Caenorhabditis elegans: one gene and its partner. The protein of the gene in region 1 interacts with the protein of each later gene in a pairwise test. Each region holds a gene or a part of one and is shown on either strand. Other genes may lie near its edges. The genes, in order: kynu-1 and C54D10.3.

Evidence for each region.
Region 2: the proteins of kynu-1 (region 1) and C54D10.3 interact in a two-hybrid assay, tested with the Caenorhabditis elegans proteins (one large-scale study listed by BioGRID).

What each region holds. Positions count from the first base shown.
Region 1 is NC_003284.9:6,106,116-6,111,354, forward strand, and holds kynu-1 (Kynureninase), read right to left. Parts: upstream 3,224-5,239; 5' UTR 3,221-3,223; coding exon 3,131-3,220; intron 3,083-3,130; coding exon 2,965-3,082; intron 2,495-2,964; coding exon 2,374-2,494; intron 2,329-2,373; coding exon 2,184-2,328; intron 2,138-2,183; coding exon 1,844-2,137; intron 1,757-1,843; coding exon 1,531-1,756; intron 1,475-1,530; coding exon 1,389-1,474; intron 1,340-1,388; coding exon 1,106-1,339; intron 1,012-1,105; coding exon 889-1,011; 3' UTR 805-888; downstream 1-804. Other genes in the region: prx-3 (Peroxisomal biogenesis factor 3), read right to left, coding at 4,888-5,043, 5,091-5,210. UniProt on the Caenorhabditis elegans protein: Catalyzes the cleavage of L-kynurenine (L-Kyn) and L-3-hydroxykynurenine (L-3OHKyn) into anthranilic acid (AA) and 3-hydroxyanthranilic acid (3-OHAA), respectively.
Region 2 is NC_003283.11:12,416,855-12,420,039, reverse strand, and holds C54D10.3 (ShKT domain-containing protein), read right to left. Parts: upstream 1,449-3,185; 5' UTR 1,439-1,448; coding exon 1,366-1,438; intron 1,314-1,365; coding exon 1,173-1,313; intron 1,123-1,172; coding exon 1,025-1,122; intron 977-1,024; coding exon 898-976; intron 845-897; coding exon 717-844; 3' UTR 612-716; downstream 1-611. Other genes in the region: C54D10.4 (RDS/peripherin-like protein xRDS35), read left to right, coding at 1-28, 74-301, 351-539; cdr-3 (CaDmium Responsive), read left to right, coding at 2,663-2,899, 2,944-3,066, 3,112-3,179.

The DNA of each region.
Region 1 (5,239 bases):
GTTTATTTGAACCAACATTTTGCTGATGTGTGTATACAATTACACATATCAAATTACGTTTGCATCATACCATATGGCTTACGTAAACTGACCTGATCGTTTTCAAAACAAGTGGAGATATGAAATATATCAATATTTTACAAAAAAACGTAGTAGGGGATTAAAACATATATTATATTGACTTTGTTTTTATCTTTTTCTGAAATGAAAAGATTGACGTCAGGGATTCGCGTCCTTTTCAATTTTTTTCTGCACATTTACATAATTTTCTTATTTTCTGGAGATTTTTTTTTGAAATATAGGAAAATATATGTACTTTCCAAAATCACTTCGTTTGTAAATAAAATATTTGAGAAGTTGTAAAAAAACTGCCACATTGTGACAGTGTGCCGTGAGAATGTGCCGCTTGGTGCAGTGCATTCATATTTGAGACGGGTTTGGAACAATTTTCAGAAATTTCAGTTTCAATTTAACATTTTTTCAGTGAGGACAAATAGTCTATATTTCTACATAAATTTCAAAAATAATTCTGCCACAATGACGAGAAAAATAGATTTTATAAATTTCCCCAATGTGTCGCACATCTCTGTTTGATTCAAAATTAACAAGGTGTTTTGTTTTAAAACTATTTTCAAAATATTTTCTTTGTTATACACAATCAAACGCATTTTGTGAATTAATGTCACTAGATTATGTATGAAATAATATTTTGTCTCTCCATTTTGAGCAAATCCGAAATCACTTAACATGTAAATTGCAGTCATCTAACTTGCGTGTTTGTACTGCGTTTGCGTTTCAAAATGATTAAATCACATTCAGATCATTTTTTTCATATAAAACTCATACAATACGTTCAACATTATTCTACTACATTGCGAGCCAATTGAATTATTCGCTTTCGACAATATGAGCAACTTCTTGGAGCACGGAAATGAATCTGCGAATATCCACGTAGTTATTGTAAAGATGAACTGGAGCGACACGGATTACATTCGGGTATCTTTTGTCAACCTGAAAGCGTTTATCGCAATTTAGGAATACTTGTAAAAACGCCATAATATTATAGCAAAGTTTGGCTATTTCATCGAACATATGATAAGCTTACCGCACATCCGCGTTTAACAAGCTCAGGATAAATAATGTCGATTGGAGAAGAGAATTTCAGAGAAAGTTGGCAACCACGCTGATGGAACTCTTCTGGAGTGATGATAGAAATTGAGAGCTTAGTAGTTCTTTGCTCAGAGTTTTCACCGAACAAAGTTTTCACTAAGTACTCCAGGTACCCGGTCAAATAGCATGAACGACTACGAAGGTTTTCAAGTGAGACTTGATCGAAAACCTGAAAAATTAGAAATGCATAAAGATTAACAATCAAAAAATAAACCAACCTTCAAACTTCCCAGCATAGCAGCGACGGTATGAATTGGAGGGTTACTGATTCTGTAACCAGCAGCTCCCTCGTCCAAGTCGAGAACTAGAACACAAATGAAATTTATAGAAAAATATATAGACGATTGAAAAAAATCTTACCATTGTCCATGACAAATCTCGATGACATTTTATGACTCCACCATCCCAACATACGCTCCCGTTGGTCATTCAAAAATCTTTCATGGACAAAAAGACCACCAATTGATCCAGCTCCTGTACATCCGTACTTATACGAGCACCAACAGGCAAAGTCAACATCCCACCAGTGAAGATGAAGGGGAACGTTTGCGAAAGCATGGGCCAAATCGAAGCCAACAAAGCATCCCTGAAAAATTAGAATCACGGATGCAACAAGTTACAATATAAAGTATATAAAAGCGTTAGTTTTACAGAAAATTTCATTAAATATTACCTTTCGATGTCCCGCTTCAGTAATAGCCCTCATGTCAAAAAGCTGTCCGGTATAGTACTGGATTCCCGAGAAAAACACGATTGCAATCTCATCTCCATTTTTCTCAATATAATCAAGGATGTCTTCTGTGCGAAGAGTTTCCTCTCCCTCTCGTGGTTCAAGACAAACCATACTGTCCTGAACAGTTCTTCCCTTCAAACGAATCTGAGATTCAATTGCATAATGATCGGATGGGAATGCTTTGGATTCGAGAAGGATTTTATGACGAGTCTCCGTGGGTTTGTAGAAGGAAGTCTGAATTAGTCAGGTTAGCATTAACACCAATAGTTTTCACATTTACCAAGAGCACGTGGATATTAACAGTTAAACTATTGCACACGGAAACTTCCTCTTTCTTGGCACCAACAAGACGTCCCACACCTTCTAAGCAGTACTCATCACAATGAGCCCATGGAACTTCTCCAGACATATGCCCGAATACTCCCCTGAAATGTGTACTGTTGTGGGAAGTGCAAAATTAAAAAACCAACATTTTGGCCCATTTGTCCAAATGATCTTTCATGACTTCGCCGGTTGCTTTTGGCATCAATCCGAGTGAGTTTCCGCATAGATAAATGCTATCACTCTCTGGATCAACAAGGCTTGGATCAGCTGAAACATTCGATCTTAAAGTTATTCACAAGTGGAAAGGTTTCTATTCCAGCCAAAAAACGGTGAAAACTTAGTGTTCTCAATTTTTCAAAAGTTGCCGATTTAAAAAAAATTCCTCCCAGTTTTATATTTTAATTATGTTTAAAATGTTTATATTTTAACTTTGTAGGGGTTTAAACATTTGAGAGTGCTTTAGATTTCTTCAAAACTCAGTTTTCACCATTTTTGATTTAAAATAAACAAATTCCGAAGTTAAAAATTATTATGATTTTTGCACCTTAGTTATTTCCCCACAAACCGTACTTAACATTTAAACTTGTCAGCTATAATAATTGATAATTTCATATTAATAAATTGTGTTTCTTTATTTTAACACCAACTCATGGCAAAATTGGCGAATGTGGAAATTTACAACATGGCGAAACTGGTTATTCTGAAGTTTTTTGAAAAGAATTTTCTCTAGAACTTACCATCTGGAAGAGTTCCGGCTTTCGGATAATGGAACAAGTCTCTAATTTCTTTCAGCGCATCACTATCGGAAAGAAATTCTGCAAGAGCCGGGTCCGTCAAATCTTTGATTCCACTTTCCTAAACTTATTTTTAGAGCTAACAAATTTCAACAAAAAATAATCTTACATCAGCCATTTTGTTTAAAAACTGAAGAACTTTATCTTGAGTGCACATGCATTCTTGCTCATTTTCAGGCTGCGGTGGGGCGTCCGACATGATCTTCAAAAAGGAAAATGTTAGAATCTTCAAAAAAAAAACAAATTTCTAAACAAAAATAAGAAATCGGAAAACTTTGAGACAAACAACAGCTGCATCCTACACAATATACGCAATACACTCCGCCGTTAAATAAAAGGGAGTTGGGTCGTCGGGCGAAATTTTATCGTTTTCGACTTCTTTTTTCTGTTCGCTAGAGATACACAAAATAGACAAGACCAAGCGCGATAAGATATGGGTGTTTCGTTGAAAATCATATACTGATTGCGTTCATAAGTACAGACAAAAGTGACTTGTCTGATCGATTAATAGATATAAAAAATAAAAAGATATTTATCTCTCAAGGTCACCATCTTTGCATCTGCTTGGTGTACAGTTCTGGTGATCAATACTTTGGTTATTATCAAAAATAAACATGTAACAACATATTACAATGAAGTTTTCTGAAACAAAAACAATAATTTCTTCAAAGATATCTGATGGGTATCTTTCAAATTTTGAAATCGACAACACAAATTTGAAGTTTAGTAAAGCAGTGCTCCTAATTCATAATCTATGTCGTTTTCTGAACACCGCTTCATCGGTTGCTTAGATAAAAGCTCATACCACGCGTGGTATCAAAAACTTGGAAAAAACCTTGAAAAAAAAGTCAAAATAAGATACAAAACCGACATAATGTACAAAAAAGTGTAATTGAACATATTTAAGAGTTTCAAGCTTATTCAATGTTCAATAGCTCCGAATCGAGCATAAAAGTATTACCAATATGAATAGTGAAAACATGATAATAATATTAAAAAGTAAATTATTCACTGGCAAAATACAAAACGCAGTGAGATTTAATTTTAGTGTTAATCATTTTGACATTTTTCAAAAAAAAAAAAAAATTTCCTGCGAAATTTCAATAAATCGCAGAGGATCCTACACAGGCTGGTACTTTTTTGTTCCTTTTGGTTTTTTTTTGATTTTTTTTGGTTTGTTTTTTTTGTTGATACGAAAAATTAATTGTTTAGTTTTATTTTGGATTTTTTTGGAGACCAAAAATTACGCTACTTCCTTACTTCAAACGTTTTTTGTATACAAAACATATTGTATTAGCTTTTTTCATGCTATATGAGTTTAACTATAGTTTGTGAACTCACAAAATATAACTGTTTTGCTTTCTTTAGTCCAATATCATTTTTGGTCCCAATCCTTGCCCTCTAGCAAGTGGGCGGTCGATTTTTTTGTTGCTATTTTGCTCTCATTTTTAAGATATCAAAAATAAAATTGTAGGCAAAGTGGTTCTCGTATGCCAAATCCAAAACCATTATTAGTTACTTATTTAAATTTTTGGAAAATCACTGAACTCGTGGATGTTTTGCATTCTAATATTATTTCTAGCACCTTCTACTGAGTCATGAGATTTTTCTATCTTTACAAAGCTTCAAATTTTCATTATTTGGTTATAGAAAAACAAGATACAATGATTTTACTTCAATGGTAATAGTAGCAATTAATTTTTTAAATGAATCAAATTTTTGGAAAAACTCGTAAAAGCTAGTTAAAATGTAACTTTAGTCAAAGAAAAAATATTTGTGAAATAGTTAAATTCACATTTTGCAACGGTTTTATAGACAAAAACATCAGTCCGGTCAAAAAATATAGTAAAGCTAGTTCAGTTTTGGCTAGGAATTGAAAACGTAAACGGCAAACTGGTGAATATCGGAGGAATACAAGGAATTGAAGAGTGGGCTATCGAAAGCAGTTGATGTGAGAATTGGGAAGGAATTGGAAAATGCTGGAACATATTTGACCAAGGGTTGTTCGTCGTTTTCTACCATCTAGAAAAATATATGTTAAGTTTGCAGATTTTGAATCTTAAACTCACCTTCAGTGCAGCTGAGAAGTAGAAATCGAGCAAGCTATTCAGTACATGTATGCTTTTGCTTGATTCAAGATTTGTTGTCAGCTTTTGCAGAAGTTTCATTACAGACGAGCTGTTGTCCTGCTGAAATATTTTTTTTCCATAGGATTTTT
Region 2 (3,185 bases), on another chromosome or scaffold:
TGGGGCAATCGATTATGGGTTCTTCAATGTAAGTGTCAACTAAATTGTTAATTTATAATACTATATTTTTCAGAAAACAACTGCATCAGAAGACAAAATACCGTTTACATCGACGCTGAATATTGGGTGCCCTCATAACTCACTTTTCAAAAATTCCACATGTGGAAAAACTCACTCTAGAGGTTGTGAAGAACGCTTGAAAACACTATACACAGTCAGAATCTTGCTCTATTCGTGTATTGGGACAGTTTTGTCTATTATATTTGCCGTTATTTCTCCATTTATCTATTCACAATTTGAGGCAACCATCTAAATTTCAATAATTTATTTATTCATAACTGTAATTACAGATGGATAGACGGCTTGCTAGATCCAAGTATATCCGTGATTGGAGGCATTCCTTAGAGATCCATGTCAATGATCATCGAATGTGGGCGATGAGGAAAACAGCAAAAGAAACGAAAAAGATTGAAGAGAAGAACCCAAGTCCAGTGTCTCCAGTGAATATAAGCTCTTTTAACATTAAAGGTGTTCAATGAAAATTCTATTTCAGGCTTCGAACAAAAGTTTCAAGTCAGAAAAAAAGTCAAAATCAGAAAGAAAACAGGAATAAATGTTGACTACTAAATCTTCATTTATCGATGAATATTTGTGAAACTTCGAATGATTTATTGATTTATTATGCTGTTCATCTGGAACCGTAACATGACGGTATCCTAACAGAATCCACAAGTCTTGGGGCATTGATCTTTCATCAAAGACAAGTAGATCGAGTTGGTACACAAGTAGGCTTTAGCTGCACATTCAGAAACTCCGGTTGATGGGTTCACTTTGTCGACACAGCCTGTAACATTTATATCTTCCATTGCTTTTTAAATATTAAGAATTTGCACAAACTTGAAGATGATCCACCGTTGTTGTTGTTGTTATTATTATTGTTTCCACCACTGCATCTGTTGCACGTTTTTGGGCATTGCTGAAAATGTACAATGTATCATTAGAAGTCTTCACTCAATTTTATTACCTCAGTCATCAATGTGTAATAGGTTGAATCATTGCACAGGTAAGCACTCTTTGGGCAATCAGATACTCCTGTCGACGGATTGACTTTGTCGACACAAGCTGAATGATTAAGAATAAACTGATGTTTCAATAGGTCTCTTATGTCTTACTAGAGGTGGATGCAGCTGTTGTGGTGGTCGTAGTAGACACTTGAATATCAGCATATTCACAACAAGTGGAGTTTGTCAAACAGGCCATTCCTTCTGGACAGATGTAGATGTCCATAGTGTTGACAGTCATTTTGAGACATGCTGAAATTTATTTTATTTTCATGAAAATTTTACCCTCAATTCTTTAGCGTACGTCCTTGGTCGTTGGCACATGTTTGGGCGGAAGCAGAAGCTACCAATGTAGAAACCAAAATGATGAACAGCATTTTTTGTTACCTGAAAATAGGAAAGGTTTAGATAAAATATTATAAGGTTTTGAAACTGACTGTAAAATCCATTAGATATGGCTTCTTTTATAGTCAACGAAAAGTTCAACAATATGCCTAAATATAAATTATTCCCAGTTGAGCAAACAAACTTTTATTTTGCATTTGATTAAGATGAGATTCTCCTAAAATAAAAAATTGCTGTGTGGGTTTTGAATTTTATGAATTATTCATAAGTATTGCAATTCAATTGTTGTGGTGCTAATCTTTCATCCGTGGAACTCAAATTGTGAACAGTAAATTTTGTTGACTGCATTATAACAGTAAAATGGAATGCTAATTAATACATAGATAGAATCTTATACCCAATTGTACAGTCACCTATGATAGTCTCGGCATTGCCTGAGCAGAGTCCTACATAGTTCTCAGAGTTATTCATAACGGGCAGCTGGAAAGTCGACGGACCATGTAGAAGAGTCTGATTGTTGTATATAACCGGAAGGCAGCAACAAGCAATACGTTCGAGTTCCATATTTCTACTTTCTTGCACGTGAATGTGAGATGGCTGTGAACATTGAAATTGGTTTCCACAAGATGTTTTTGTTGTTAAAAAGAGTAGTCTCTGATCCGTTAGACAGTTCTTGCATCAACTTGTAAACAAAAGTGTTCCACTATAAAATAGAACAGAAAAAATAAACATGTTTATTTAATTCGATGAGAGTACTCAAATTTCATTCGAAATACGCTTTCCGAATATTCCTAAATAAATTTTATTACAGCCTGTTTTCTGATTTTTTTCCCCTGTAAATATTAAAAATCATCATTTTTTAGAGATGTTTTTGGGTAATAACTTCAAGAATTATTTACAAAACACTTTAAATGCTTTGTGGCATCATTTCTCTAAAATTCTAAACTGTATAAAAATTAATCCATTAGAGCAATCTGTGATGTTTTATCAATGTTTCAATATTTTTTATCTAAACAAAAATAAAAGAGATATCAATGATTAGAGCAACAAAACTCGTTTTTGAACATTTAAAATTAAAATGATTTCATAAAGTTCGTTTTGGGACAAACATGTTCATTATTATTTATAGTTTTTTTTCAATTAATCAACGGGCAATCTGAATAGTGCAATTTTAATTTTCATTCTGGATTTTCTCTATTTGATGCAATTTCTTTTTAAATTTTCAAATGAAAAACTTAACACAAGTACTTTTTCAGATGATCAGTTCCTGTGCAATCAAAGTTGTGTTCATCTTATCTGTGATAGGAATTATTATTTATAAAAAGTTTTTCAAGAAACCATCTATTCGTGCAAAACCAGAACCTTATAAAAAAGATTACAACAGGGGAACTGTTTACTTGTATCAATTCAAAAGAACCAAGAAATGCCCGAATCTATCACCATTTTGCATGAAAGTTGAGGTTTTATGTAGAGCATACAAGGTACCATATGAGGTGAGAATTCTCATTTAATTCTGAATATTATGCATTTTTAACAGATATGTGATGAGAAACTTATTTGGTCGAGAAACGGAACATTACCATTTATTGAATTAAATGGGGAGCATATTGCTGATACAGATCTTATTGAAGTGCGACTTCGCGAGCATTTTAATATTTCGGTAGGAATCAAATATTTAAAAACTGTTAATTTTATAATTTTCCAGTCTTTACCAAAAGAAAAAGAAGCACAATCTGTTGCTATTACCAGATTAGCTGATAATCATTTATTCAAGTGAGA